2 linked regions of the Mytilus edulis genome follow. The protein of the gene in region 2 purifies or fractionates together with the protein of the main gene of each other region. This does not show direct contact. Links are inferred from orthologs where the notes say so. Each region holds a gene or a part of one and is shown on either strand. Other genes may lie near its edges. The genes, in order: meiotic nuclear division protein 1 homolog and homologous-pairing protein 2 homolog.

Evidence for each region.
Region 1: the proteins of homologous-pairing protein 2 homolog (region 2) and meiotic nuclear division protein 1 homolog purify together in Homo sapiens (co-immunoprecipitation; 6 studies listed by BioGRID and IntAct, counting the BioPlex papers as one, with this or other methods). This does not show direct contact. The link is inferred for Mytilus edulis from reciprocal best matches to the Homo sapiens genes PSMC3IP and MND1.

What each region holds. Positions count from the first base shown.
Region 1 is NC_092349.1:43,062,848-43,078,814, reverse strand, and holds the start of meiotic nuclear division protein 1 homolog, read right to left. Parts: upstream 6,052-15,967; 5' UTR 5,929-6,051; coding exon 5,926-5,928; intron 1-5,925. Other genes in the region: uncharacterized protein, read left to right, coding at 6,247-6,325, 8,283-8,377, 8,950-9,062, 9,633-9,816, 10,918-11,022, 11,965-12,041, 12,785-12,898, 14,060-14,156 and 2 more. UniProt on the Homo sapiens protein: Required for proper homologous chromosome pairing and efficient cross-over and intragenic recombination during meiosis.
Region 2 is NC_092345.1:94,961,236-94,977,263, reverse strand, and holds the start of homologous-pairing protein 2 homolog, read right to left. Parts: upstream 7,000-16,028; 5' UTR 6,911-6,999; coding exon 6,886-6,910; intron 2,687-6,885; coding exon 2,592-2,686; intron 1-2,591. Other genes in the region: enkurin-like, read left to right, coding at 7,102-7,178, 10,271-10,416, 11,005-11,234, 12,316-12,633. UniProt on the Homo sapiens protein: Plays an important role in meiotic recombination. Stimulates DMC1-mediated strand exchange required for pairing homologous chromosomes during meiosis.

The sequences.
Region 1 (15,967 bases), on a different chromosome or scaffold from region 2:
TAAGAAACTAGGCCCGTAGGCAGGAATTTCCATGGGGGGGTTCGTTGGACTCATGAACTCGACTTTAACAGTCACAATTTGAACAAAACGTTGACTTTAACAGTGCTTATTTGATTTCAAGGGGGGGTTCGGACGAACCCCGTCCGAACCCCCCTGGCTACGGGTATGGAAACAGTATTGGGTTCCTTGTCATGCTTGTGGTACACCAGATGTTATGGGAGGAAATGCCATTGATGACAACTGTTTGTGTTCTGTCTTGTAAAAATGCCTGAATCCAATTTAGTGTGTTATTTTGAATACCATAGAATTTGAGCTTGTAAAGGAGGCGACAATGTGAGACTTTGTCAAACACTTTAGAGAAGTCCATTATGATCAAGTCAATTTGTGTGTTACTATCAGGGGTACTACTTGTACAAGTTATTTTTATTTACTTGAAGAAGTAAAAAAAATATAGACATATAAGTTAATTATAATGTTTAAATAAAATTGCCTTTAATTTTCTCACAAAAATTCTCAAGTTTTGAGATGTAAAATCATGGCTTTAATAATTTTTCCCAGGTTAGCTCATATCCTTTTTATTAGAGTTCAATGTTTCATCTCATTAATTCAACAAAGAAACTGATAGTGCTCACAGAGATCTTAAGTATTTGCACAAGGCCTTCAAAAATTGATCCTTGGGGGCTTGTAAATGAGCTGAGTGTTCTGAAGATAATAGACAAATGGGATTTTAATTGTTCATGAAATTACACCCTCTTGCTGCCGGAGGGACACATATGTCCAAACCGGCAGTGCCGGAGGGACACATATATGTCCATGGATAAATTTATTCCAGCTTCTTATCAATGCTGTATCTCTTTCAATTAAAATACAGAAGAATAAACAGGGTCATGTTTTTCTCCAATTGGTCCCAAATGTAGTGGTCATTTTGTTGTGACGTCATATATCGAATGACGTGGTTGTTTAGCATGTTACGTCACAGACGTTGAGCTGTCGTATTTTCCGGCATATGAAATGCAACCTTGAAAAACGGTCGGCAGCAAGAGGGTTAAATGATTAGTAAAGACAACTGCAAAGGGCAGATAATTTGAAATTCTATTTGAGCAAAGAAATCCTAAGAATTCAATAAAAAAAGATAGGATAACTTTTTTGCTTCTACAGTAAAAAAATCTGAATGTCTAAGGGACATAACTCACCAAATATTTTTTTTAACCTATATACAAATAAATAAAATTCACTTGGTTAAGTATCCTTCAAATTTACTTGTATAAGTATATTAATATTGCTTCTTCAAGTAATTTAAAATAATTTGTACAAGTAGTACCCCTGACTGACTATTATTTGATTGTGCTAGTTCTTGAATGAAGTCTATTAATAGTGTTTCACACGACCTAGATTTTTTGAAGCCATGCTGAAGATCGTATAATATATTGTGTTTTTCAAGATGAGACATGATTCTACTTGTAATGATATGCTCCATGAGCTTGCAACAATATGCAGGTTAAAGATATTGGCCTGTAGTTTACGGGTTTGTATTTTCCCCCTTTTTTGAAGGCTGGGGCTACATTAACATTAGCATGTTTCCAGTCCTTAGGTGTTTCTCCAGTTTCAAGCGACTTTTTATATATCAATGTAAGGATTGGTGAGATTTGTTCCTTTAGTTCTTAAAGGACTTGATATTGTCAGGGCCGCAAGCTTTATGTGTAAAATCTACAGAAAAAAATGTACAACACAAAATGATAACATACATGACATACAAACTAGATTACCTTGGGTAACAGACAAACTGCGTAAGCTTATCAACAAGAAAATCAAAGCTTATCAAAAGAGGAAGAAATATCCCGAAAAATATAAAAAAGTTGAAACAAACAATGCAAAAAGAATTGCGTACAGAATATTGGAAATATATGGAAAAAATGATCTGTGATATACCAATATTAAAACGAACCTGGTCAATATGAAACATCAAAATCAAAACCAAAAAATCGGTTCAGCTACATCAAAAGCACATGATCTGATAACACTGGTGTTGCACCTTTGAACAAGAATGTGTCCAAAGTACACGGATGCCCCACTCGCACTATCATTTTCCATGTTCAATGGACCGTGAAATAGGATAAAAAATATAATTAGGCTTTAAAATTAAAAAGATATTATCATAGGGAACATGTGTATTAAGTTTCAAGTTGATTGGACTTCAACTTCATCAAAAACTACCTTGACCAAAAACTTTAACCTGAAACATGCACTTTCATTTTCTATGTTCAGTGGACCGTGAAATTGGGGTCAAAAGTTTAATTTGGCTTTAAAATTAGAAAGATCATGTCATAAGGAACATGTGTACTAAGTTTCAAGTTGATTGGACTTCAACTTCATCAAAAACTACCTTGACCAAAAACTTTAACCTGAAGCGGGACAGACGGACGAACAGACGGACTGACGGACGAACGGACGGACGGACGGACGGACGGACGGACGAACGGACGCACAGACCAGAAAACATAATGCCCCGCTACTATCGTAGGTGGGGCATAAAAAAGATGGCAAACTAGTCACAGACACTGAGGAAAAAGCGAACATTTTAAATCAACAGTTCCAATCAGTATTTACAAATGAAACGGATGATAACATCCAAGACAAAGGTAGAAGTCCCCACTCGAAAATGTCCAACATAACAATCACTGAAGCAGGTATTACAAAATTACTGTCAAACCTCTACCAGTCTACAGTTACAGATGGTACAAGCTAAAGAGGAATTTGAACCCTCAATCTTGGAATCTAAAGGCAGTGCTCTAAACAATAGACCCACAGAAGATATTACCTTACTCAACCATTTGATCTACCTTTATATTTCCAGGTATTCAACACCAAGCAACTTAATCCTTTAGATTTGGATTCTCAATTGTTCCACATCCAGGATTGATTACCAGACCAAATATTCATGATTTTTTGATAATCTAGGACTGTATTTTTGATTATTTGATTATTTTGTTAAAAAAATAATCAATGATTATGTGATTACTTGGACACCCCCAATAAGAGCCTCCTTAACGGGGGTACATTCATAAAGAATAACGTAAAGATTCTTGCCAAATGACAGTAATTGTAATTTTTGGTGCATGACAATAAAATCATGAAAATGTACTTTCTTATAGCATGTTTAGACCATAGATGTAATACCCATAGATGAAGCTCAACCCTGACTTCAAAGGTTATATGTGGGTTGTAATGGCTTTCACACTTATCTGATAATGACATGAACCAGTTGGTCATTGAGATGCAGATTGACAATCAGGACAATAGAAAACTGACAATTAAAATCTACTTAGCCATTAAACATGCTAAAAATCAAAAAGAAACAAAATCAAAATATATATTTTATATTGACTTGATTTTAAAAAATAATATTTGTTTAGATAAAACAATATTACAAAATATTCTCGTAAAGAAACAATTAAATGTGAATATTTTTCATTTTTAGGTAGAACTTCCGTTTTCATTATATTTATATTTTTAGATTTTATATAAAAACTTTATCTTTAAAATGTATGCTTACTTTTATAAGCAAGTTTATTGAACATATAATTGTTAGAAAACATTGAACAAGTTAAAAATATGTATGCTCCAAAAAGTATTTTCTATGCCTTGTATGTTTTGTTATTTAATGCATGCACTAAATTCTTAGTTTAAACATATTTATTTATAGTGGATTGTGAAACAAGTTTTGCAACTTATATTAATCCCTTTCCACTTTGCGGGTGCGAGTGCTGCCTTGTAGCGGCATTAGCCTGCTCTTTTTCGAAATCTACAAGGGTGTCTTTAACGTGCAAGAGATATGGCTCTCTCTTAACACGGGTCAGCCATTTATCGTCCCCTTCCGACGGACTATCATCGTTTCCTCGAGACCATACTCGCAAATGGTGTCAAGGGAGAGCCGAAAATTCAGTTCCTGAAATTTTCATCCCAATTGGGAATCGAACCAGGAACCTTTGTGTTAGTAGTCCGATGCACTAACCACTACACCACGGCTCTCTCTAAATTCTTAAAACTCTTTACTTATAAATACATATTCATAAACATCATGAATGAAATTATTATAATATTTTTGATTATCCAAAAAATATAAAATACATCTATGATTTAGCAACTAACTTATTCTGTAAAATTATAAAAATGGTTTGAAAAAGACCATTTCTCTTCTAAAACTGTAGAAAAACTGATTAAAAAAAGAAAACAATGTACATTTTTGTACTTTTTCTTATTTTTTTTCCCAAATTTGACGCAGTTCGGCACTTTAATGAAGCATATCAAAGAAAAGGTGTATTTTAGAAGTTCAACAACGTGCTATTCCCATTTTCCGGAACTTACAGGAACATAGTTTTTATAAAATATAAAGATACAAGCCAAAAAATACATTTTTGAATTAAGTTCAATATATTCCTTGTAAAATGCGCAATTTTTGATCGATTTCATCCATTTTTTGACCATTTTATTTGTCTGTCCAGTGCGCTAAAAATAGACATAATTTAACAACAGAAGGGACATAACTCGAGAAGAAATTTAAGAAAATCTATTATGCTGTACTGGTCAAGGAGATCAACAAATAAAAGATGTGGCTAGAGTTACTTGATAGAGTACAACACACATTTATAATGAACTTGGAATGTCTTATATCATCAATAACTTTAATTATGTTAAAGGTAATTTAAATTCTATTAAACAAAGAATTAATGACCAATGTTTGCAAGTTCAAAATGCAAATATATTTGAATCCAAAAAGTTAGACTTTTTCAAAAGTGTCTACATAATGGGCAGAAGACCACCCTATGTTGATATATTAAAAAACAGAAGTGACAGAGCTGCAATATGTAAGATCCGTATAAGCGCTCATACACTGATGATTGAAAGAGGGAGACATCTAAATATTCCCAGAAATGAGAGATACTGCTCTGTATGTAATTCTGGTCAAATTGAAAATGAAAAACATTTTCTTTTACATTGTGAAAAATACTCAACTAAGAGGGACATATTTTACCATAAAGTTTCAAATATAATCGTTGATCCTACAAAATTTCAAAAACATGAAAATAATATAATCTTTTTATTAAATAATAATTCATACACAATCCTAAAATTAACTTCCTCTTTCATCTCAGACAGTTTGAACCTGCGTAAAGCAGAACAAACTCTATAAAATTGCTAATAATCATTGTTCATAATATTACATATTAATATTGTCATTATTTTCAATACTTAATATGTTTGACCAACTATGTAATTGATATATTTTTTTTTTAATCATTTACTGTTGATGATATTGATATCGTTCGATGATATTGTTCTAAATATGCCTATTGCTATTCTATGCATTATTACTATTTGTATACCAGTTGTATGGGCCATTGCCAATTATTGTAATTGTGTTTGTGCCAATAAAATATTTGTATTTGTATTTGTATAACATCAAAGACAGTCAATTTGGTCATGGTTCTTTTTATCTAACAATAGAGAACAGTGGGGAACTTTTGGCGAGCTTTATCTATGGGTATTACATATATGTTTAGACAAATCACTTTAATTTTTTTCCAAAACTAACAGTAATGATGATAATTATTTGAAACCTCTGATGAATAACAATAGGAATATTTTGACAAATCACGGTAAAATTTTAACCAATTTTACACAAACACTAACAGTATCCGAAAATCACCCTTTGACAGTAAAGGGCAGTGCTTCTGCTTCTTATTCTTTCATAATGGTAACAATCAACAAAAAACCCTCCCCCTTCCTACCCTCTTCCAAACTCCGAATCTCAAAAGGGTTCCCAAGCACATGTGCTCTTATTGGTAAAATATGGAATATTTGAGTGGTTATAAAACATGAATGCCTGTATGACAACCATATGTTCATATATATAATATACACTACCATTTTGTCAAGCAGAAATGATTAGTTAAATTTGGCGCCTTTTCATGATACTACTTAAAACCAACAGACAGAACTGAGGACGACAACTGCAAGGTAAATGTTTTTAAACTTTCTAAATATATCTTATTCAAATCATGAATGTATCACTACAGTACTATTATCGAATCATTTATATATTCCTTTTACTCCACAAAATATTGACTCAACAGTACAAAGTATCGCAATCTTTTTTATGTTGAATTGGTTTTAAGATAAATCTTCAAGGGATTATAAAGCGTTGGTTGCTTTCCCTTCCCAAACCTTCCCTTATTTTTTTCTGTGATGGACAGAAAAGCTCAATATAAACACAAGACAGATGACGTTGATACAATACGAAATAGAAATAGAAGTGAAGAAATTGGTAGGAAATTTGGCAACCTGTTTGTTTTATGTTCAAGTTTTTGTATCTAATGACTAATGTCTGTTTTTCGTTTCTGGCTTCAGCAGTTCGAGGTTTCACTTTACACAAGATACACAACAGTCACCTTAATATTTTGAGTAAATGATTGAAAATAGGTTAAAAACGTAATTTGTGTCACTGTATTTAGTGTAAAGGAGAAGGTCCGGTAAGACCCCTTTTTGGCCCCAAAATATTGCAGTTTTACCAAATTGTTAAAATGTAAACTTTTAGTTATTTGTTGGACAGTAGAATGCTTCTGCTACATAATTATGGGCTGTTTTTGACAATACAATGCACATATATCGAGTACTAGCACCACTAAGTCATGCTAAATTACTGAAATCTTCACAATTCTATCATTTTAGTTAAATTTTAGACGGTTTTCGCTTAAAACGAAAGTGGCCGCATTCCTGTTCATCCTTAATATTGGAATGAGAGTTGTATTTTATGATAATACATAACATATATAAAGGTTTAGGATGAACACGGATGCGGCCACTTTCATTTTTGACAAAAACCATCTGAAAAGTGATATTTTTTAACAAATTTGGTAGATTTTTCATTTTGAGCTTGAATCGGATCGTTTTTAATGACTAAATCAGTTAAAACCTTTCACAAAAACTAACTGAATCAAATGAAATAGACACTTAAGTGTTTAAAAAGAGGTCAAAATCTTTCGTCAGATGAACCTGAAATTTGAGGCCAAAATCGGTCCTTACCGGACCTACTCCTTTCTTTTATAAGGCAGTTATTTGAAAACAGAAGAGGACAAAGTCTGTATATTTTTTTTTCATGGATATGATACTTTTTGTTTTAATATCAGATAAATTTGCGGGAATTCATAATTCTATATGAAAGATCTGTTCAACTTCATCAGGAGTCTTTCACAGCTCAGAGAAACCCTATGCACCTTGCATGCAAGTTAAAACTGAAAATCTGACAAAGTTCAAATATCTCCCAAAAGAGCAAATATTAATACAAAATGCACTCATTTAATTACATTAACATACATTAATTCCTGTTGAACATTGAAAAAAATACGGAAAATAACAAATTTGTTATCAAACAAACTTGCATTATTTTTGACTTATAAAATGAAGAGCTACAGCCGGTTTTTTGGAGTACTTTGAAACGTGAAACGAGGACTATAGAATTCATGAAAACCATACAAAACTTTAATAATAATCTATAGTCTATGGTGCAATGGATAAACAAAATATTGTTCTCATGATGCATATAGAAATAGTACAAGTATAAATATTAATATTGTAAGCTTTTTTTTTAGACTTCCTATTCATGAAAGAACAAATTTCTAGACTAGTATCTATTTTAATATTAATGCTTCTTTTTTTTTTTTACTTCATATTAAAGAAAAAATGTACTAGTATCAATAACAAGATGTTAATTTTTAAGTAAAGAATATCAATCTTAATATACAAGTTTTGTATAAATGTTTAAGTAAGACATACATGTAGTTGTATAGGGATTTCACATTAAAGTGTATGTTTCTATATTTTTTCTATTATTAATTTCTATACTTCTATTTCAATCTTAATCAAGACCGGCAAAATAGCAAAACTGTATACAAATCGCTATTTTGCCGGAGCCGGCAAAATAGCCACTGCCTAATACAAATCAAAACCCTGACCACATGCTCATCTACAGTAAGTCAATATACATGTATGTACAAACAGCCAGCAAAGAAAAAAATTGCTACATGTAGCATTCAAACTGTAATTTATACTTTCAAAATTACATGTACAGGCAAGATATAACTCTATGAGAACAGTACTACATGTACTAGTTTTAAAATAAGATATCATTTTGAGTTGTGTCACATATTTTTTGGATCTGTTTGTGTTGCATAATGCATAACCATAATTATAATAAGGAACCACATGATTTTTTTTATTTTCAGCTTTAAGAAAAGAAAAGAAAGATAAATTACTAAGCTCAAAAAGATTTCGTTTAGCTGAAGGAGAAGAAATTACAGATGAATACAGTATAAGTGAGGTATGGATAGTTTATTTTAGTAAATTATGTACATGTATGTAAATGACATGTACAGGCAATTTTAATGGCTGTAGTTTAAATTACTGGGTGGCAAAATTGTCTGTGAAAAAGTTGAATATTTTGTTTTATGAGAAGTACAACAATTTGGAAAGTGATACAAAGGAGGCAATGAAAAAAACACAGACAACACCATGGGTAAAAAAACAAAACAAGACCAACATCAATCCACATAACACCACACAAAAAACTAAAAATTTATAATAGATGTTCTGACATTAAGATAAAAGTTTCCATGGAATCAAATTATCAGTTTTCAAGAAAGTTCAATATTAAGATACATTGTGCAATGTGTTTAGGACAGTAAAGAGATTACTTTTAATTTCAAAATATAAAAAAATTATGAAAGCATTTTATACAATAACCATGACAAGGTTTATTCAATTCTATTTTAGAAAAAAAAAAACTTTGATCTTGATTTAATATATCAGTGTGACATTGCTTTTACTGTTTTTTAATGTGAAGTAGAAATGGATATGCTGTTACATTTCATTTACAAGTGTTATTTTTTTTAGGTAAAAACCATAACAGCTAATTTAAAGAAGTCTGGAACTAACACTTTAGCAGCTTTAAAACTTTTAAGACAGGCATTTTCACAAGGAACAGTGTACATTGATGCATTTGTAAGGCAAGTAAATTATCATTATTCAGGGCCTTTGATTGGTCAATATACAATATGGTGCACGAAAAAAACATACAAGGGGATTCAATTGAAAATCAATGTTAAAGGGGAGATAATTGAAATTGCAGGGCTGGGGTTCATTCACAGTTCCTGATCATATTTGTTGTATATCACTCTTTGATATGACAGGACATTATATTTATGCCCTTAGTGAGTTGTAGTGTAATTTGTTTGTCTACTGTATCTCTATCTGTCAACACTGAAGTTGTGAGTTTGAACGGAGTACATGGCAGGTGTGTTTGTCTCTAATGAAAGTTGACTAGGGTTGTCGGTTTTTCCTGCATGGTTCTCTCTTGATACTCTTGCAGCCTTGCTTACTTCATCATTAAACAGTGACTGCTGTGATAAAGCTTATACTATCGAAAGAGACATTAAACACCAATAATAAATCAATCTGCCTTTAGAGATAAAGTAAGTAATTAAGCTACTTAGCTACGCATGCTAAAAAAATTCTCTGTGTTATCAGTGTTTATTCAACTTTATAATTAATTGATAATGAAATTTGATTTTTTCTAGTGAGGAAAACATTATACACACACTGGTTGGACTATATACAGGAACAAATTCAGATTTACAGCTAGAAGCTGGATGGTGTATTACAAACATATCAGCAGGAAGTCATGACCAGGCCATGTTAATCTCTAAATATGTAGCTCCATACTTAGTAGCTTACTTAAGTAGTCAGAACTTTCTCTTACAGGTACTAATCTATTCTACGAGAAGAAGATTAATATTTTAAATGTGAAAATTTTTGCAGATTGATATTTTACTATTTCAATGCTTACTGGTAACCTTTAACAATGTTACACCCAATCCTGAAATATGAAACTTTAAATGCCTCTTTTTCATGAATTAAGTTAAATTTTGCAAATTATTATGAATGTCAGATTTTTTATGCAGAGTATTCATGATTGTGAAATAAGCAAAAATAACCATCACACAGAAATTTTCATGTTTATTGTAAATATGTAATGTGTTTGTATTAGTGGTATTTTTCTTCAGCTGCTATTTATTTACCAACTGTGAAGTGTGTAAAATCCTTATAACAATATAAAGATTGCCAATGAGACAACTATCCACCAACAACAACCACTAGAGGAGAATGCAATATACTGATTAATCAAAAATAACTGATAACTTAGAAAGACATGAAATACAGGTGGAGGTTGATGGGATTAAAGTTTGGTTTTGTCGTTTTTACAACAATAAAAAACAATCAAATATAAATGCAGTTTATTATGGATTTAACATGAACATTTCCTTTCTGTAACCAAACCTTGAAGGACCCTTTAAAAAAAATAAAAATCAACTAAAAGGTTGTTTTCTCTGTGAATTTTTGTTTGATGGGACAAAGAGCCATATAACCAACATTTCTAATTAAAAACAGTTGTAAAAAGAAGTTGTTAACTTATTTTTTTTGTAGATCAATCTGAAGTTTAGTCTCAAACAGATGTAATTCCTCAAAACTAATGCTTTCAGTACTAAAACGTTTCTCTTCTCATAGCTTTTTTCATATGATATTCACGATTCTTACTACATGTACTGCGGATTCATTATTATTCATTGGAAACCAATTTTCGTGGGAACAGGTGAACCACAAACTCAAATGTTCAAAAAGTTACAAATTTTATATAGGCTTTGTATAGCATGTATAATTAAGAGATAACTAAATCATGAAAAAGTTTTCCTCAATCAGCGAAAATTGATACCCACGAAAATAAACGAATCCACAGTATTGAATAATTTCGTGAGTTTTAGGAGCAGCTGTTGACTATCTTTACCTTATGTTTTATTTTTATAGGACCAGAGTGCTTGGGCCCTAGGTAATTTGGCAGGTGACAGTCAAGAATGCAGAAATATGGTCCGAGCTCAGGGTGTGGTTGCACCATTAATTAAATTGCTACAGGTTAGTCTAATATGAGATTTACATTGAAGAAAAATGTGTATAAGTTAGATATCATTATCAATGAATACTCAGAAATAGTTGTGCTTATTTTTTTGCAAACCAACTAAACTAAAATGATTTTAATACCAATTGAAATGCTTGCTTTTTTTCAATAAATGTTATATGCTTAACTTGAAACATGAAATTTTAAAACATATAAACCATATCTATTAACACATGTACAGACAAGTCTTAAGGAAACGATGATAGTCTGTCGGAAGGGGACGATAAATGGCTGACCCGTGTTAATTAATGGAGAGAGCCATATCTCTTGCACGTTAAACACACCCTTGTAGATTTCGAAAAAGAGTAGGCTAATGCCGCTACAAGGCAGCACTCGCACCTGCAAAGTGGAAAGAGATTAATATAAGTTGCAAAACTTGTTTCCCAATCCACTATGAATAGATATGTTTAAACTAAGGTTAATAAGGATCCTTAGATAAAGTTCCTTCACTATGTTAATTTCTCTAATGGCTATTACAACATTTAAAGACCTTTTAGTCTTAAAGGCTACATGATTTTGAGACATTATATTCTTGATAGGATACATAGCATTCGGATATCAAATCAACTTACCGGTATTAATATCTCAGTATAAGTGTATGAGGCATTGTTGGTAAACATTGATAGAAGTTTTCTCAGAAAACCTGAGAAACCTATTCTTAAATAGAATGTGCAATAGTTGTTGTATCCAATCAGAGATAACATAACTCATGTTAAACATTAAAGATGATTTATAAAATTAAACCCAAATTTATTTTATATGATCAGGAACACAGTTGAAACATGAAGGAGTAAATTAGTTAAGAATGAAAGAAAGAATATTAAAAATCTCACTGTTGTTTTTTGCAATGAACATTTTCTCTGAGTTTTCCTTGCAGTAAAAGATTTGCTTTATTTCAGTCCCAACATCCTGCTGTTGTCCAGTCTGCAGCTTTTGCTTTGTCAAACTTGGCCAAGGAATGCATTGAAATCTCAAGGTAGGATGTTTGAATTGTATATTTTGGATATTAAAAAAATTGATACTTGTGAAGCCTGAATGGATTTTTATTAAATGAAAATGTGGTAACAATTTAAAGTTAATGCAAAGGTTAGATAACGTGTCAGCTGATTAAAATATTGACAAGTAAAGCTTGGTCGTCTGTCCCTAAATCTACACTTTGTATAAAAGGGGAGATAATGCTTTGATAAAATTTTATAAAAAAACTTGTGCTTAATCAATGGATAAAAGCTCACTTTCTGTTTTAAAAAGTTTCAGTTTGTTGTTCCATAGTTAAATTGTTTGAGGCTATATATCACATATATTGGACAAGTTTGTTTTGATTGAAACTTTACACTGTTGTTTCAAAAAATATCTTGATGGTCGTTACAGAGTTATGGGACATCAACCATCAGATAAAAGTAAGTTTTTCACATGTCCAGCAATAAATACAGTTTACTGAGATCGATTTACTTGAAACTTTTGTTTATTTGGGGGTTTGTTAAAAGCAAACTCCCTTTTAATTTCCAAATTTTTGTTTATAATTCAAGAGTTGTGGGACTTGAATCATCAAAATAACTGCATTTCATACATGTTATGCACTAACTGTATTAGATATAATCAGATTAATTTACTTAAATTTTATAATATTTTGGGGATTTGTTAAAAAAAGCTGCCTTTCTTATATACGATTTTCAGATTTGTTCTTTTAAATTTATTGTAATAACTGTTGATATATTTTAGGGAGATGGTACAGGGACAGGTTATTTCAGCATTACTGCCACATTTCATCTACCATCCAGACAATGTCAATATACTGTCAGAGGTGTCGTGGGTCTTCACTTATCTAGCCTCAAGGTAGGTTAACTGAATACTGAGTCAGGTTATAACAGTGTTACTACCACATTTCGTCTATCATCCAGACAATGTCAATATACTGTCAGAGGTGTCGTGGGTCTTCACTTATCTAGCCTCAAGGTAGGTTAACTGAATACTGAGTCAGGTTATAACAGTGTTACTACCACATTTCGTCTATCATCCAGACAATGTCAATATACTGTCAGAGGTGTCGTGGGTCTTCACTTATCTAGCCTCAAGGTAGGTTAACTGAATACTGAGTCAGGTTATAACAGTGTTACTACCACATTTCGTCTATCATCCAGACAATGTCAATATACTGTCAGAGGTGTCGTGGGTCTTCACTTATCTAGCCTCAAGGTAGGTTAACTGAATACTGAGTCAGGTTATAACAGTGTTACTACCACATTTCGTCTATCATCCAGACAATGTCAATATACTGTCAGAGGTGTCGTGGGTCTTCACTTATCTAGCCTCAAGGTAGGTTAACTGAATACTGAGTCAGGATATAACAGTGTTACTACCACATTTCGTCTATCATCCAGACAATGTCAATATACTGTCAGAGGTGTCGTGGGTCTTCACTTATCTAGCCTCAAGGTAGGTTAACTGAATACTGAGTCAGGTTATAACAGTGTTACTACCACATTTCGTCTATCATCCAGACAATGTCAATATACTGTCAGAGGTGTCGTGGGTCTTCACTTATCTAGCCTCAAGGTAGGTTAACTGAATACTGAGTCAGGTTATAACAGTGTTACTACCACATTTCGTCTATCATCCAGACAATGTCAATATACTGTCAGAGGTCTCGTGGGTTTTCACTTATCTAGCCTCAAGGTAGAGTTACTGAATACTGACTGAAATATCTGAACTGAAGCATTTCGTAAAGAGACAAAATTTTATAAAACTATGTAACTTTGTAGAAATGTTTGCAACCATTTATTCAAATTTAGACATAAACCTTTTCTATAATAAATATTGTGTCTTTCAGAAGACTCAATTAAATTTAGCTGTCATTAAGACAAACATTTTTATTGTAAACATTATATTGATTAAATGTAAATGTTATATGCATGTTATTATTTGAAATACTGTAAAACAATTCATATCCAATATTGTGAAGTAAAATTTATTTAAATGCTTTTTCTTTGCTTTAAGTGGTGAATTCTCTGAAGAAATTGTGAAAAATGGTGTTTTGACACAAATAGTTGTATTGTTGATACAGTTATCTGAGGTGCAACCACATATAGCAACGGTAAGTTATAATTCTGAAAAAGAATATATAGATAACAGTGTTGTTTCCATTTATTCCCATATATTTCACATTTAAAATATAATTTTTTGCACACAAAAAATGTCATCTTCACAAAAACAAATATATGATCCTATCATTATTTACACATTTCATGCATATATAAAACAATATCAGGTATAAAAATATTAAAAAAAATAATATTTGAATTTTAGCAAGAAGCATACATAAAATTATTTTGGTACTGTTCCAGAGCGGGGAATCGTTTTTTTACACCCATGAGTACAGAAAAATAGTAGTTAAGTAACCTGACAAATGACATCATAAAGACATGCATATTTTTTAAAATCCCATATTGAATTGACAGACATAACTCTCAAAACCTCTATTTAGCATATTGAGTACTTTTTAATGACAAAAATTTGTGGATTGTTCATAAATGCTAGTTGCTATCTATGAAATCACAAATCTACTAAATACATTTTCACTTATCCCTAGAAAATAAATGAATCCACAGTATGTTGCATTTGGATTTGTGGCATTGAATTATGTGCTATTTTAATAGATACCGTCACCATGCTTCCAAATAATTGTTCCAAACATCTGTTTTCTGTCATGCTCATGCTTTGTAATTGTAATAGGTTGTAACCCCATTGCTACGTTGCCTTGGTAACCTGTGTAGTGGTCCAGACGAGTACACAGTTATGGCATGTGAGAACCAACAACTACTTCCTGTATTAGGCACATACTTATCATCCAATCACAGACATGTTAAGAAAGAAACATTATGGGTTTTATCTAATTTAACAAGTAAGATAATTATTTTGTACTTTACTGTAATATAATATTGAATAGATAGAGAGAATCATATGTTTTTTTCAAATTTATATCCATATCGAAGCAATACACCAATATAATCTCAAGAGCTCTGCTCGAGGAATAATGTTAGTTGAGGGTTGATACGTTGCCTGATATTGAAAAAGCTATATCAAGTAGATGGTTTTTTTTCCAATGACATGAGGTACTACAGATAAGATAATTGCTATAGAGACAGTTCTTCACCAGAGTCCATAGGACATACAATTTCAACTGAAAGTCACCATACGCCCTTCAACAATGAGCAAAACCCATGAAAAACTTTCTTAATAATATTTAAACCATACAACTTGCCTTGAGTCTTGGCTAATGTTATTGTTGCATGTATACATTTTCCATACCCTCTTCTGTATTATAGGTGAATCTAAAGCCTGTTCAGCAGTAACACATAGTCCTTTATTACACCAAATCCTGGAGCAAGTACCTGCTGCTTTTGATATCAAAATGGAAGTATGTTTTAAGAAACCTTTTAGCAATTAGCCAATCAAATGCAATATAGAAATGCTAATAATGACAACTTATACCCTATCTCAATATATCCCTATATTTTCAAAAGTGGAATAGCAATTAAATGTTTAATGCCTAAGTACACATTAAAATTAAACTACCAAAGGGAGATAATCCATAATAAATATGTGTCATAAGTCAGAAAATAACTTCCCCTTTGATAACATGCATGGTTTGTAAGAATATTAACTAATTGTAATGCCAGAATGGTAGTTTTATAAGGAGGATGGTTATTGGTTACATTTTTATGTCACAGTCTTATAAGAGGGTACTATTCAGTTCAGATCTTAAATGCAACCATAAGTATTTATGATTGACACCTGATATTGTAAAGCAATGATATCACAGTGTCAATATTAGATTTTGAACAGATAACATGAACCTATGAATAGTTTTTTTCTTTGAAGAGCCAACTATGATTTATTTGTGCA
Region 2 (16,028 bases):
GAAAAGATCGAGCCCAAAATCTTTGTTGATAGACACCACAATAATGTATGGACCTATGAACGGTACGGATAGGAAAATACGGACTGTCAGTCATATAAATGGCCTATAAAACATGTTAAAAACAATCTTAATGTTCATATAAACCCACTAAGAAGGCTATATTATTCTTCAATTATCTAAAAATCAATTTTATTGTACAAAAACTTTCATATTTAAAAAATTCACAGGGGCCATAATGCGAAACTAAACTTCTAACTGTGTATTGCTACCTTAAGACAATGAGAAGAATGCATATATTATCATGCTAAGCAAACCCCAACTCAAAAACAGGTAGTAGCTGTCTGACAGATACAAAAAGTTCTAACATGTTACAACTCAGTTGAGCTGATTATCAAATATGGGGTCGATCCAAGGATCCGGAAATTTTTTCACCTAATTTCGGTCATTTTGGGATAACTTAAAAGTTGGTGCCCTTTTTAAACAAAGATTGTGTGTATGCTCATACAGTCATACTCGTAGCATCAACGAACTTGTTTAACTGTTGCATCGCATTTACTTCAGAAATTTCCCTACCATGTTCCTTAAAATCGATCTTGAGCAATAAAAGGAAGGCACCAGTTTAAAAATGAAATGATTTTAATGACTCAAAACGATAAATTTCTCAAACTTCGCTTACGTTTCTTTCAATTTTAAAAACAAAATTATAACCGGATGTTTTACGACAATAGTAAAACGACCAATTCCGGACTCATTTCCGGGATTAGTTTTGTTTATCAAATTCACAGGAAATCGTCAGCTTTTGAACTGTTTTACCTTTACTAGTGTTTGAATATTAATTGTAATAGTTGGACTTGTTTAATTGAGCATGAAATCATTTTTAATTTACGATTTAGTGTCTAATTTGCGGAAGAGAATTTCAAGCATGCGTATTAGTAAACAAAGCACGTGTGTTTGTAGTGAAACAATATTTTGTTCTACGTAAATTAATTTAATTTTAAATCAGAATTGGCAATTGTCTAAGCTGAGAAAAGTAATTAAATAATGCAGACAGTTGTTATGAACTTTTAATTTCTTTAAAATATTAGTTCTGAGCTCGTGATCAATAAAAAATTTAATTAAAAACACAGGTAAAGATATTAGCGATCATTAGCCAATATTTCCCTGAGGCATTACTATAGTTATTAGGAGGGCCCTCAGGATTATAACACTTTACTGGAGTGGCAGTTTTATTACAGGAAAAGGATAACAACAAAAAATAAGTTCAAAATGGCGATTTAGACAATGTTAGAAACTCGATCTCAACGAAATGACATTGAATGACCGAAATTATTTCTGTAAAAAAATAAAATTTGTCCTAAATCCCAATTACTCATTTAGGACAAACTACTTTCAGTTTAGGTCAAGACTGGCATATATGACCGTTTCCGGACCCTTGGGTCGATCATTATATTTAAGAAATGACTGTAATATTTTTTCTGTTTGTGAAGAAATAACATAAAAATGTGGTGCACACTGAATAACCCATGTAGCCTATTCGGAATAGGCAGAACAAATATTAGTCATTTCTTATAATTTAATTCTTAATTCCATTTTAAACTGGAGTAAATCATGAAAAACGTTGATGATGTCACGATCACATAACAAAATTATGACTGAGCTGATAAACAAAATGACGTCAGCCAATTAGAAGACGTGTTACATCCAAAATTAAATTATTCAGTAATGAATAAATGTATTTGATATGTATATGATGAAAAAATTAAAACTTCAAAAACACAGAAAAAAATCAAAAGTATGGGCAAACAGGACATTAGATTTCTGACAGATCAGATTATAAATGATAAAGTTCTATCAAGATGCTTACCAAATAATTAATCATTCAAGTAAGTAGAAGCTGAGAGAAAAATCTGACTGAAAAGAGTAGTTGACAAATAGAGGGATAAATTAAATGCATTAATATAGCCAGCTCCCACTTTGTGCTAGTGTGTTAATTTACGGTTTTTGATTGAGTTAAGCCTTCCAATTGATATTTTATCGTGTGGTTTTCTATGTTGTGATGTTATGCTATTGTTTCAGAAAAAGGGAGAAGGTTTGGTACCATTAAAATGTTTAATCCCGCTGCAAATGTTTGCACCTGTCCTAAGTCAGGAATCTGATGTACAGTAGTTGTCATTTGTTAATGTAATTTATACGTGTTTCTCGTTTCTCGTTTTTTTTTTTTATAGATTAGAACGTTGGTTTTCCAGTTTGAATGGTTTTACACTAGTAATTTTGGAGCCCTTTATAGCTTTTTTTTCGGTGTGAGCCAAGGCTCCGTGTTGGAGGCCGTACATTGACTTATAATGGTTTACTTTTATATATTGTTATTTGGATGGAGAGTTGTCTCATTGGCACTCACACCACATCTTCCTATATCTATATACATGATTTAATATAACATAAAATTTGACAGTCTTTACTTCTTATTCGCAGAGACTAAAACAAACAAACTCAGATATATATACAGAGTAATCTACTGTATCATATGATATTAATTGCTTCCAGCTATTAGTCTTACAAGCCCAGTTACCCACAAACTGTATCGAACTTACTGTTTTACCATGTTCTTTATGTAAATTATTACAAATATCAATGGCACTGTAAGGTCTGTTCTGTTTATTCAAGTAATCAAACACTGCCTTGGAAGCTGTAAATACAAAACATACTTATTTTCATTAGATTGTATTCAAACTAGTTCACTTCTACTTCTACTTTATAGTGACAGCGTTCAACGTGTTGAAGTTTAGGTCACTTGTACTACTGATAGTTGCTTTGAGGATACATACATGACATATACTGTATACAGTGAAAATTTCAGTTTTGTCATTATAAAAAAAAAATTTAAAAATTTAAAAAAAACAGATAGTCTGAATGATTTCTGCTAATTATATCTTTTAGTACAAAAGTGCAGACCATTCGAAGTGTTGTCAATTTTGGGTATTATTTTAATGTTGAATTTATTTGCATAATTTGACAACCCTGCATACCAAGGTATTCACTTCAGGGACTCTAACGAAATGATTCACACAGGCGTTGGTTCACCACATGGAGTTTAATTTTAGTACAAAAGTTGAATAATTTCAGATGAGGTACTGGGTACTATAAATGATCATGAAATAAGAGAAATCCATACATAACAATTCATGTGTTGGTCAATACTATTGGTAGTGCTGATAAAGAATCATGGTTAAATACCAAACAGTCTGCCACCAGGGAAAAAAAGAAATACAAAAGGCAACAAGGCATAATAACATGAGCAATACCAGCATTCTGAAGCCCGTAGTTTCTTAAATGTCACTGGAATGACATCACTTAATTAAAATAACCAAAATGTCAAGAACATACAACCATCATTCTATACATGACAGTACTAGTAATTCTCATCTATTCTTTTAACAAGTAACTTTCTCATCACATGGACAACTCTACCTCAGAATGACAGTTATTATTTTTTAATCTTTTTTAAATGCAAAAAAATATTTTAAGAGTTGGGGTTTAGTCTAGAATCTGAACAGTAACTTTTACCACACATATATTTTTCTTTGGTTTTAAAGGGGCATTAACAGTATAGATACCTGAGCCTGTAGTTCAGTGGTTGTTTGTTGTTGGTTCATTTCTGTCTTATTGGTTTTTCATAAAATCTTTTGTTATAAATTAGGCCAGTAATTTTCTCAACTGAATTGTTTTATATTTTACACATTTGTGCCTTTTATAATCAATCATACGGTATGAGCTTTTCTCATGGTGGACACAAATGGTGGATGGCTGTAGGATTGCCTGTAATTGCTTACATTCACCTCATTCATTCATTTGAACTTTGATGGATCTAAGCTTGTCTCATTGACAACCATACCACAAATTCTTGTTTTTATAGAGAAGTATACATATTTCTGAATGTTTTGAAAATCAATCATTTTCTTTCTTCAAATGTTTTTTTCTTTCTTTTAGTCTAATTATACCATACAATAAAATTGTGCCGTCATGTATAATTCTATAGTTCATAAATTACACCATTAACACTGGGAAGACTGGTGACATCAAATGAACAAAAATTCATTTCAGTTTAAGTAGTGACATAAATGTATTCTACAAATAACTAATACTCCTTCAATTACAATTATTCATGTTTGTAACAAGAGTGCACACACTGAAATGTCTCGCCTTCTTTACTAATCATTGAAATTATGTTGATAGTCCTAAGTATAAAGCTTTATTACAACTGTCACATAAACTTAACATTAACCAAGATAGCTAAACAAAGACCAATGAACCATGAAAATAAGGTCAAGGTCAGATAAACCATGCCAGGCAGACATGTACAGCTAACAAAGCTTCCATACAACAAATATAGTTGACCTATTACTTATAGTTTTAGTAAGAAAAATAGACCAAAACACAAAAACTTAACATTGTGCAATGAACCGTGCAATTGAGGTCATGGTCAAATAAACCTGCGGGACTGACATATAGATCATAATATATTTCCATACACCAAATATAGTTGACCTTTGGCATATAATATTAGATAAAAAGACCAAAACTTAAAAACTTAACTTTGACCACTGAACCATGAAAATGGGGTCAAGTTCAGATGACAACTGCCCGCTAGACATGTACACCTTACAATCATTCCATACAACAAATATAGTAGACCTATTGCATAAAGTATGAGAAAAACCGACCAAAACACAAAAACTTAACTATAACCACTGAACCATGAAAATGAGGTCAAGGTCAGATGACACCTGCCAGTTGGACATGTACACCTTCCAGTCCTTCCATACACCAAATATACTAGCCTTATTGCTTATAGTATCTGAGATATGGACTTGACCACCAAAACTTAACCTTGTTCACTGATCCATGAAATGAGGTCGAGGTCAAGTGAAAACTGTCTGACGGGCATGAGGACCTTGCAAGGTACGCACATACCAAATATAGTTACCCTATTACTTATAATAAGAGAGAATTCAACATTACAAAAATTCTGAACTTTTTTTTCAAGTGGTCACTGAACCATGAAAATGAGGTCAAGGACATTGGACATGTGACTGACGGAAACTTCGTATCATGAGGCATCTATATACAAAGTATGAAGCATCCAGGTCTTTCACCTTCTAAATTATAAACCTTTTAAGAAGTTAGCTAACGCCGCCGCCGTAGCCGCCGCCGTAGCCGCCGCCGTTGCCGCCGCCGGATCACTATCCCTATGTCGAGCTTTCTGCAACAAAAGTTGCAGGCTCGACAAAAATCTCATTTGATATCTAATTCAATTTGTAAGTCCTTTATAAAAAATACATTAATTAATCATAAATAAAGCAAGTTAAATATGACATGTACAAACATGCCAGGCATGGGATTAAATATCATTTACTCTAGAACAAGACTCTTTTGTTCTAGATTGATGTTACAGATCATGAATTAGGAATCTCCCTGAAAAATATCATACATTTGCAGTTTAAAACATACCGTTTTTCACATTTTTAGTTTTAAATCCTTTCAATACATGCAATACATTTGTACATTGGAAAGAAACAGTATCTTTTCTTTTTGATTTCATTAATTTTTTTTTAAAACTCTAGATGTACAACATTTGTACAATGTATAAAATTTTGTAGTTTCTTTTTGATTATATAAAAGTCCCCAAAAGTATTTTTCTTTTGCAAAGGAAATTTATTTCATTTGGGATTATCATAGGAATCCAAACAGGAGAATACAAATATAATTCTTAAACCACTTGGATCAGTTGAGTACGCTGCTTATAATTCTGCATGTGTTTAAATAAATTGGGCAAAGTCCATTTTGGTGACTAGAGTACTTATTAATAACATCTTCTTTGATTTTTTGTATTGGTCTGTTTTTTTGTGTGTTTTTGATAATTTTTACATACATGTATATAGCTGTTACCACTTGTCAATATGATTCATAATGCATTAGATAAATTAGGCATATCTCTAATTCATTGACAATAAAAGGTTAATTTAATTTATATTGACATAATTATGTGTCAAGACTTTGATGGTTGTATCATGTGTTTGGAGTAAAATATCTAAATGTAATGTTTTATTAACCTTTTTACATAATGACATATGTCATGTACATTTGTAGGTGTTAAAAAAACAACAAGATTATCAAAAAGATAAATTTAAAAAGCACCAACCTGAAAGGTAAACTCAAGACACTTAATTGGCCAACAAAATAATATTTACATGTAAAATATAAAACAGATTTATTTTTGTCTTTTCATTTCACATCCAAGTTATAAGTGGTCCAAGGATACTTTCAAATTAGTCCATTTTGTCTTTATTATTAAATAGTCATCCCCTATTAAAGCTTGCAAGGTTATTCATTTTCAGCTCTTACAAGGCCATATATTCATTTCCACCCCAAACCCTTTTTCAAAATTATCAAATGGTCCCCCTCCCCAGCCTATTATTTCAGCATGGCTTGCAAGGGTTAATCTCAGAAGTTAGAGGCAGCAGAGACATATAATACAAATTGCTATGAATTGGGTGTATGTTGTCCAAAAACACTTTTGCACCCATATTGTTGGTTTTGTGTTCAATAATTTGGTAATCGAGAATGTGTATTGCTACATATTTTTTTGAAAGTTTCATAATAAATTGACATTCTGAAAACATTTGTTTTGTCAAGGATTTGTACTTGGTTTCATTTAAATAAATCTTTCGCATGTTTTGGTTAGTCATAAAATAATAAATATTTATTTTCATTGACATTGTTTCGTGCATTTCTTTCTTGTGTTGTCATTTTAAAACCGGTTTTACAGGTAAAGTTTGTTCCTACATAAATAAATGAACATATTATTGTTATTTTGTTATCAACAACCTTGTGCTTCTTTTGATTTACTCATGTTAAAATACAGACTAATCTGGTCAATGTTTACGTTTGAAGTATTGGCGGGAAATAATTTTCAGGGGACATAATATTATAATTGGAGTTATCGGCCTTTGATGACGTACTTCCTGGAAACGGCCTTAGTTTATTTATCTGAAATTTTCTTCTTGTTTGTACAGTGCATAGGACAACATCAGAGATATAAAGATGTATACAAGAGACGATGAACCAACAATTTATGGGTTGATCCCTGAAGCAGAGATAAAAAGAGAGAAAGCACCAAGGTAATGATCAAATAATTGAGATTGTCTTGCAAATAAATTAATAATAGAAAGAAATATTAGAACTGAAGTCAAGAACGTTAGTATTTAATATCAACATAGGATATTTTGCTTGGTCTTTTGCATTTTAAGTAATTGTCTCTTTATATTTTATCATAAACTGGACCCCTTTTAGTTTTTACAGCAGACTGTGCACTATTGGTTTTGCTCATTGTTGATGGTTAAACAGTAACTTATAAATTTGTAAACTTTTATGACGTTTAGTCTCTGGTGGAGAGTTTTCTCATTGACAATCATACCACATCTTATATTTATATTTGAAATTCACACTTGACTACAGAAAAGATGCCACAAGAACATTATCTTTAACAGTTCTGCCAACTTTTCATGAAGCAAATGCGTGAAATTTGGCCAAAATTGAGAAGATCAAAGAGAAAAAACAATAGATCAAAGGAAAATGCCTCCCAAAAAGCATGAACATGTGTGAGTTTCACGCTAACTGTGTGAGACTTGGCAGCCCTGCTTTAACAGTATCTCTGAAGAAAGTGCTGGGATATAATTGTCTCTCATTCAAATTACTTTAAAACTCCAAAAAGACAAAGAACAGATAACTAATCAAGCTACATTGTAATAGATTAATTCCAAACATCTTCAGGGCCGTAACTAGCCTCTTATAATATTGAGGCAAAATATATTCGCCGAGCGTAGCCAGGTGAAAAAAAATTTGCGTGGGGTCTCCGGGCCGCTCAAGGCCCCCAGAAGCTCTGAGAAAAATAACGCAAGATCGTGCATTCTGAGCGTTTCCCGGACTCTTACTTACATTGAAACGCAATTAATTTTAAGCTATTTCTTTTGACAATATTCTTGTCTCAAAGCAAAAACTCATTGTAATTTAAGACTTTTAGGTTTTACGGGACAACATTAAAAGTAGACCGATATGTAGAATAAAGCAAAAAACGAAATTCTCATAATCATTATGTCTGTCTGTTCTTGTCTTGTCTTGTATTGTGCTTAATTCAGACTTTGGTGATTTTTTTATGGCTAGATTGAAATAGAGTGACAGTGCAGTATTATATTTTAAGTACTAGTACTGCTAATGTCGACACTAAGGACCATCTTGACCTTGTTTTATGGTATTAATGATTCTTTTATTGTTGAAGACCCTCCCTCATCTATCAAGATGAAGAATAGGGGAAAAAACTTTGGCCATTGATCATTTGTATTTTTTCTATGCATTGACTTCGTGTGAGATAAGGTCCTGTGCACGTTTACTCCATATTCTTTTTTTCTGTTTAAGAGTCTAAACACAACTTCATGCAAGTTTAATCCTTCAATGTAAAAGGTCATATAGCAATAAATTGACTTTTTTTAAAGATGATTTGATACCGGGAAATTTGTGGTCTTACTTTAATTTAAACCATGTCAGCTATCTATTTTCATATACAAAAAAGAGCCAGTTTTGTATTCTTTGATATCAAGTTCAATTCTCCATGCAGAAACGACATTTTTTTTATGTCCAGTAGCATCGTATATTCTTAAAATAGTTTCTCGTACAATGTCTGGACATCGGTGGACATGCAACATGGCAAAACCACAGTTTACGAATGAAAATCAACACTCTGCAGACTATAGTTATAAAGTAGGACAATAAATGAACAAAAGACAAACCCGGGACACAGAAGTGCAAACAATAGACTATCAACTCTGAAAACTAAAAGTAAAATAGAAACATGGATCTCGAAAAACATGCCCGGGAGACAACAGAGAGACTTGCAAGACACTTCGTGAAAATAATTCAGGTTGATATGAAGACAATCCTGTTTCAGTTTTTTTTTTTTTTTTTGAAAATTTCCAACATGAGGCATTTGCCTCATTTGCCTCAATGTAGTTACGGCCCTGATCTTATATTTTTTGAATACTTTAATACTTATAACATATAATTCATCAGGATCCTTAATTTAATTATAAAAGAATGACAATATTATACTTTGTAATGTCATCATCACAATTCGCCCGAAAGTAATCTTGTTTGAAAAAATGTTGATGGCTTTGAACCTTTCTGTACCTAAAGACAGGGTTTCTTTCCCCTGGGTCAATTATTTTTTTCGCCACCTGTTTCACCGAAACAATATATTTTTCGCCACTTTATTATTTTTTTCGCCAAGTAACACAAATGTATTTTTCTTTTAAAATTTTCCTTTTTTCCAGCCCCCACCCCCTAAATAAGAGTGGTTTTTACAACAAAACAAAACATTTTATCACTAGAAATTGATCCCTTGTAGAAGGTGTAGTCATTACATTGAAGGGTTACTTTCATGCCAACCTTTTGAATAGATTTCTTCATAACGATTGTTTTCTTTTCTAGACCATCATAAATAAAATGTCATGAAACAGTCTTCTTCTTCTTCTTCTTTAGTAAAGAAGAAGAAGAAGAAGACTGTTTCAAAATTTTTTAACCAAGATAAATGAAAACTACCTTGTTGACTAGTTTAGCCCCCATTCTTAAAAGAGTCCCAGTCAAAGTATTAAGGAAAAAAAAACCAGAAACTGTTCTGCCTTCATTAACAACTACAGGTCATGACTGTACGTCCATCAACATTGATCAAAACCTTGTCAGCTAAAAAGGCCACAAAATGGCAAATGTAAATCAAACATGAAAACTAAGTCTGATTTGTGTACAAAACCATGAATAATAAACAGATAGGATATAAATTTAAAAAGAGGAAGATGAGGTACATTTTTGTATTATTGCCAATCCGACAACTCTCCGCAAGAGAAATTAACAACTACAGGTCATTATTTGATAATGCAAAGGATTTTCTGTTTCAAGAAAGTTTACTTTAAAAAGTAATAGTAAAACTTAGCTTAATCTGAAGTTTCATATGACTTTAAACCAAACAACTGCATATGCATGCATGAGCCTTTTGAAAGAATTAAGAAAATGAAAGATACATGTACAAATGTATGTATGCAGCAATAACATGAAAAACATAAAGGAAAATCTTTCACTTTTTATAATAATTGAAAAAAATATCATTTCTAATTTATGGATGTATACAAATATTTTAATAATTCTTGTATTATTTTTTTTAAAGACATGTTTCAAAGTTCAGAGATGATGCAAAGGGTGATTATGTCAAACTTAAAGATGATCACAAGACAATGGGCCAAGCCAAAGTTCCTGTTAGACAACCAGAAAGTTTTATGAAGAAACATGAAAAAGAACCTGTCCTTCCAGACAGTAAGTTATTGTTTCTTTAGTCAGGTGACCATTTGGTTATAACATTTTATATCAGTTGTGGAACATGGGACTAAAAACTTACAAGAAAGCATAATTAAATGTTAATTACTTCCCCCAAAAAATTATAAAATTTTGAAAGTGTGCTTCATTTTAATGTCTATCATAATGAAAGACTAAGTTTCTACAAGGTCTCAAATCAAGATCACTCAATGTAGTAGTTAAATTTGTAAACCTTAAATTTTGGAAAATACCTCAGAAGAATTTTATTTATAAATAAAATGTGATTTAAATTACTGTGAACATTTCCATTTCAATATAAATGGTAATACGTCTTGTTTTAATGTCCAAATTTTTTTCTTAAAGAAATAAAAACCCATGAAAACTTCAATTTTTGAGTTAATCAGTATATTTATAGATCTGATCTATTTCATAAATTTTTTTTATAAATATTCAATTCTTTATATAATCAGATTCAGTTGAAGTTCTTGTATTTCAAATGTGTACATGTATGAAAAACTGTTCTACAAAAAAATTCTGTCCATTTATATTACTTTGTCTTAGTTTATGTGTTTCCCATTTTGTTTACAGGGAGAACTTTTAAATATCCAGACGAGGAAAGAAAAAGACCACCTGTACCTACAACTAAAGAGCAACCTTTAATGGGTCTCAAAACATCAAAGAATTTCATCACTAATAATGCTGTCCAAAACATCACATCTGTACCTAGAATGCCACAAAAAGTATATGTTGACACAAGGGGAGGACACAAAAACTTGCTGGAGCCATCAGGACTGGAACCAGTTTATGTTCATAGAAAGGTAACATTTATCACCTGAAACTCATTGTTTGTTCACACATTGTGTGCTAAACCTTTTTATATCTATAACAGTAAATATTTTTTTTAAGTAATCAAATTTGATTCTTTTAAAACTGATGATAGTTACTTTGACTAAAAAAAGACATTAAATATTGAAGAAAACTTAATTCTTCAAGTAGGTTCTGTGACAATTTTTAACCTGATTTTTGTGACAAAAATGTCGGTTATTGAATTGGAGATGTACGACGGGCAGGCGGCAATCAAATGTTGTCCGTGCATTAACTCATGAACCATTCAACCAAAGCTTTTAAAAGTTTAATATGTTGTTACTAACAACTAAATGAAGGTCAAGTTCAATAATGGTGATTTTGACTTTTACCGTTCAGGAGTTATGGTTCTTGAAAGATTGAAAAATGGAGTTTCCAGTCGTGCCCGTGCATTTACGCATGAACTGTTCTACCAAAGCTTCCCAAATTTTAATTTGTTGTTACTGATGACAAAATGGAGGTCAAGTTTAATAATGACGATTTTGACTGTTACCGTTCAGGAGTTATGGTTCTTGAAAGATTGAAAAATGGAGTTTCCAGTCGTGTCCGTGCATTTACACATGAACTGTTCTACCAAAGCTTCACAAATTTTAATATGTTGTTACTGATGACAAAATAGAGGTCAAATTCAATAATGACGATTTTGACTTTTACCGTTCAGGAGTTATGGTTCTTGAAAGATTGAAAAATGGTGTTTCCAGTCGTGTCCGTGCATTTTCTCACGAACTATTCATCCAAAGCTTTTAAAATTTTTATATGTTGTTACTGATGACAAAATAGAGGTCACGATTTTCACTTTCACCATTCATCAGTAATGGTTCTTGTGATATTTCCAGGACACAAATAAATGTTAATAAATCCGGTTTGCTGTCGTTGTGACAGCCTCTTGTTTAAATTTAATCTGGTGATGTAAATTGTTGACACTTATATACATGTACTAGATATTTTAAAATTCCTTGTTATGTAGATCTTTGGAGAAATTTAGAAGTAATTGTTCTGTTAAATATTTACACAACATATTTTACTTGATTGCAGGATTATGGTGAAACACCAAAATATTTAGAAAAGAGGAAGGATGAGATGAAAAGAGCTCAGGAAGAATATGATGCATATATAGCAGAACATTTCAGACGAGGAGCAATGCGATCTCTATCAGGAGACGAACGACAGGCAATTTTACAAGGTCTTAAAACAAACTGGGAGGAAATTCATGACCAGTACCAGGGCCTGTCAGTTGTTACTGATACCGCTCCAAAGAAAAACAGGAAAGAAAGAATGGAAGCTGAAATGAAACAACTAGAAAGAGACATTGAAACAATTGAAAGACACAATGTTATATACATCGGAAACTAACAATGCTTAATAAACTAAACATCATGTAAAGATAATAAGAAAATTTCCTAAATGTTGATAGATATCAGTGCTTCAAAAGTTTTACATCAGTTATACAATATTTAAAACCAATTAAGTCAATCTGAAGAACAGACAATATGCATGTATACAACAAATAAGCATTACAAAAGTAAAAATGCAAGGATAGACATAAGATATAGAAGAAAACAATCAATTTGTTAGGATTTTCAAGTTTCCATTTTATATAATTATTTTATCACTTTTTAAATTGTCATTCCATCCTTTTTAGTAACTCTATGAAGAAATTTGTTCTGTAATATATACTGTACAGATTATGTAAAAAAAATATATTTTCATTTGTTTATATAGATAAATTGGGATGGGTTTATCTATTTAACCAAATGATATATTATATTATTGAAATAAACTATGAAATATATAGCATAGACTTATCAACTTTAATTAATGTCATAAAAACTATAGATCAGAGTGATGACATGGTGTTTTTTTTCTTTTCCATTTTCTCAAAACCCTAAAATCCCATGTAGGTGTATCCTGTCATGCACCTGATGTTGAGTAGTTGTTGTTTATTGATGTGATTCATAAGTGTTTCTCATTTCTTGTTTTTTACATAGATTAGACTGTTGTTTTTCCTGTTTAAATTGTTTTACACTACCTGGTAGTCATTTTGGGGCCGTTTCACCTGCTTTAATAACCATTGATTTTATTGTCGAGCCTGCAACTTTTGTTGCAGAAAGCTCGATATAGGGATAGTGATCCAACGGCAGCGTTAGCTAACTTCTTAAAAGCTTCATATTTTAGAAGGGAGAAGACCTGGATGCTGCATACTTTGTATATAGATGCCTCATGTTACGAACTTTCCATCAGTCACATGTCCAATGTCCTTGACTTCATTTTCATTTTCATTCAGTGACTAAAAAAGTTAAGATTTTTTTGTAATATTGAATTCTCTCTTATAAGTAATTGGATAACTGTATTTGGTTTGTGCGTACCTTGCAAGGTCCTCATGCCAGTCAGACAGTTTTCACTTGACCTCAACCTCATTTCATGGATCAGTGAACAAGGTTAAGTTTTGGTGGTCAAGTCCATATCTCAGAAATTATAAGCAATAGGTCTAGTATATTCGGTGTATGGAAGGACTGTAAGGTGTACATGTCCAACTGGCAGGTGTCATCTGACCTTGACCTCATTTTCATGATTCAGTGGTTACAGTTAAGTTTTTGTGTTTTGGTCTGTTTTTCTTATATTATATGCAATTGGTCTACTATATTTGTGTATTGAATGATTGTAAGGTGTACATGTCTAGCTGACAGGTGTCATCTGACCTTGACCTCATTTTCATGGTTCAGTGGTCAAAGTTAAGTTTTTGAGTTTTGGTCTATTTTTCTAATACTTTATGCATTAGGTCAATTATATTTGGTGTATGGAAATATTTTATGATCTTTATGTCTGTTACACAGGTTTTATTTGACCTTGACCTCATTTTCACGGTCCATTGCTAAGTGTTAAGTGTTTGTGTTTTGGTCTGTTTTTCTTAATTTATCAGCAATAAGTCAACCATTTTGTTGTATGGAAGAATTGTTAGCTGTACATGTCTGCCTGGCATGGTTCATCTGACCTTGACCTCATTTTCATGGTTCATTGATCAATGTTTTGTTTTCTTGGTTAATGTTGAGTTTATGTGACAGTTTTAATAAGGTTTTATATTTAGGTCTATCAACATAATATCAATGATTAGTAAAGAAGGCAAGACATTTCAGCGTGTGCACTCTTGTGTGTTGATAGTCCTAAATATAAAGTTTTATCCCCGGCTAAGTATATATCTAAGATTTTGATTGGTTAACACAATCGTTACAAAACCCATATCCCTGGACGTTGTTAACCATTATCTCGGGGAACTTCACACAAGTTTTCCTTAGTTCCATGATTGCTGGTTGTGAAATATTGAATTCTGTAGATTATCCATGATGTTTGTATTTAAATATTTAATTCATTAACGATTTTTCCTATTATGCCGATCATTTACACTCATTTCATTAAATGCAACACTTGACTGCCACATTTTCAAGGAATAGTACTACTGACCTAGCTATGCAAATGACCCACGTTGACGTCACACCATCTATGACGTAACTCTCACAACATTGACATCCAAATTTGACTCAATCCAGTTTCTCTGTCTCTGTATTAAAAACGTCTTATTTCTGACTACCTGTAGGGTTCTATCAAAGGTAGTACCCTACACCCTGAAAAAAATATGTAAGATTTCCAAATTTCAATAAAACATTTTTAGTTAATGAAATAAACGTTGTTTTCACGTTACACTTTGTACCTGAATTTCCATAAAAGTTGCCCGATTCGGACTAAGACCGGGGATAAATTCGTTATCTACATTCATATCCGTAGATATGGATATTTTAACGCCCTTCAGTAGCTTGTACACCCTTCGGCTACCCCTCACAGTGTACTGGGGTAAAATATCGGTATCTTCGGATATGAACGTAGATAACTTATATTAATTTGATGCGACTGTCATACAAGTGAGAGGTTTAGCTAGCTATAAAACCAGGTTCAATCCACCATTTTCTACATTAGAAAATGCCTGTACCAAGTCAGGAATATGACAGTTGTTATCCATTCGTTTGATGTGTTTGGACTTTTGATTTTGCCTTTTGATTTTGGATTTTCCTTTTGAATTTTCCTCGGAGTTCGGTATTTTTGTGTTTTTACTTTTTAAAAGTATCACATAGATGTCATAGACACGATCCAAGAAAATGAAATCAATATCTGATAACTAAGCAAGAAATACACATTAACCGTACAATCTTTCAGAAACAGTCTAAAGCATGAACACTTTATATTGACCATGTACACAAGGTCAGATGAACCCTTCTAGACAGATGTGGTTACCTCAAAATCATTGCATGCATCAAATATAGTTTACCTATTGCTTATAGTATCAAAGAAACAAACTTAATCAACAAGCAAAACATAACATTAAACAATGAACCCTGAAAATGAGGTCAAGGTAAGCTGAACTCTGCCAGACAGACATATACACCTTAAAATAATTGAATGCATCAAATTTTGTTGAACCATTGCTTATAGTATGTATTGGGAATAAAAAATTAAAATTAACAAATAAACCATGATATGAGGTGAAGCCGTGAAGTTCAGATGATACCTACACAATCATTCCATTCACCAAAGCTGCGTCTTGAGCGCATGATCATACGACCATTGTCTTGTGTGAGAATTTTTATATTATAACATAGATAGTTTCTGACATATGGACATGTGAAAAAAACCCACACCTTTTTAGTTACAAAGTCCCGTTACTCAAAAAGTTTTAATCTCATTTTCACCAAAAAGGT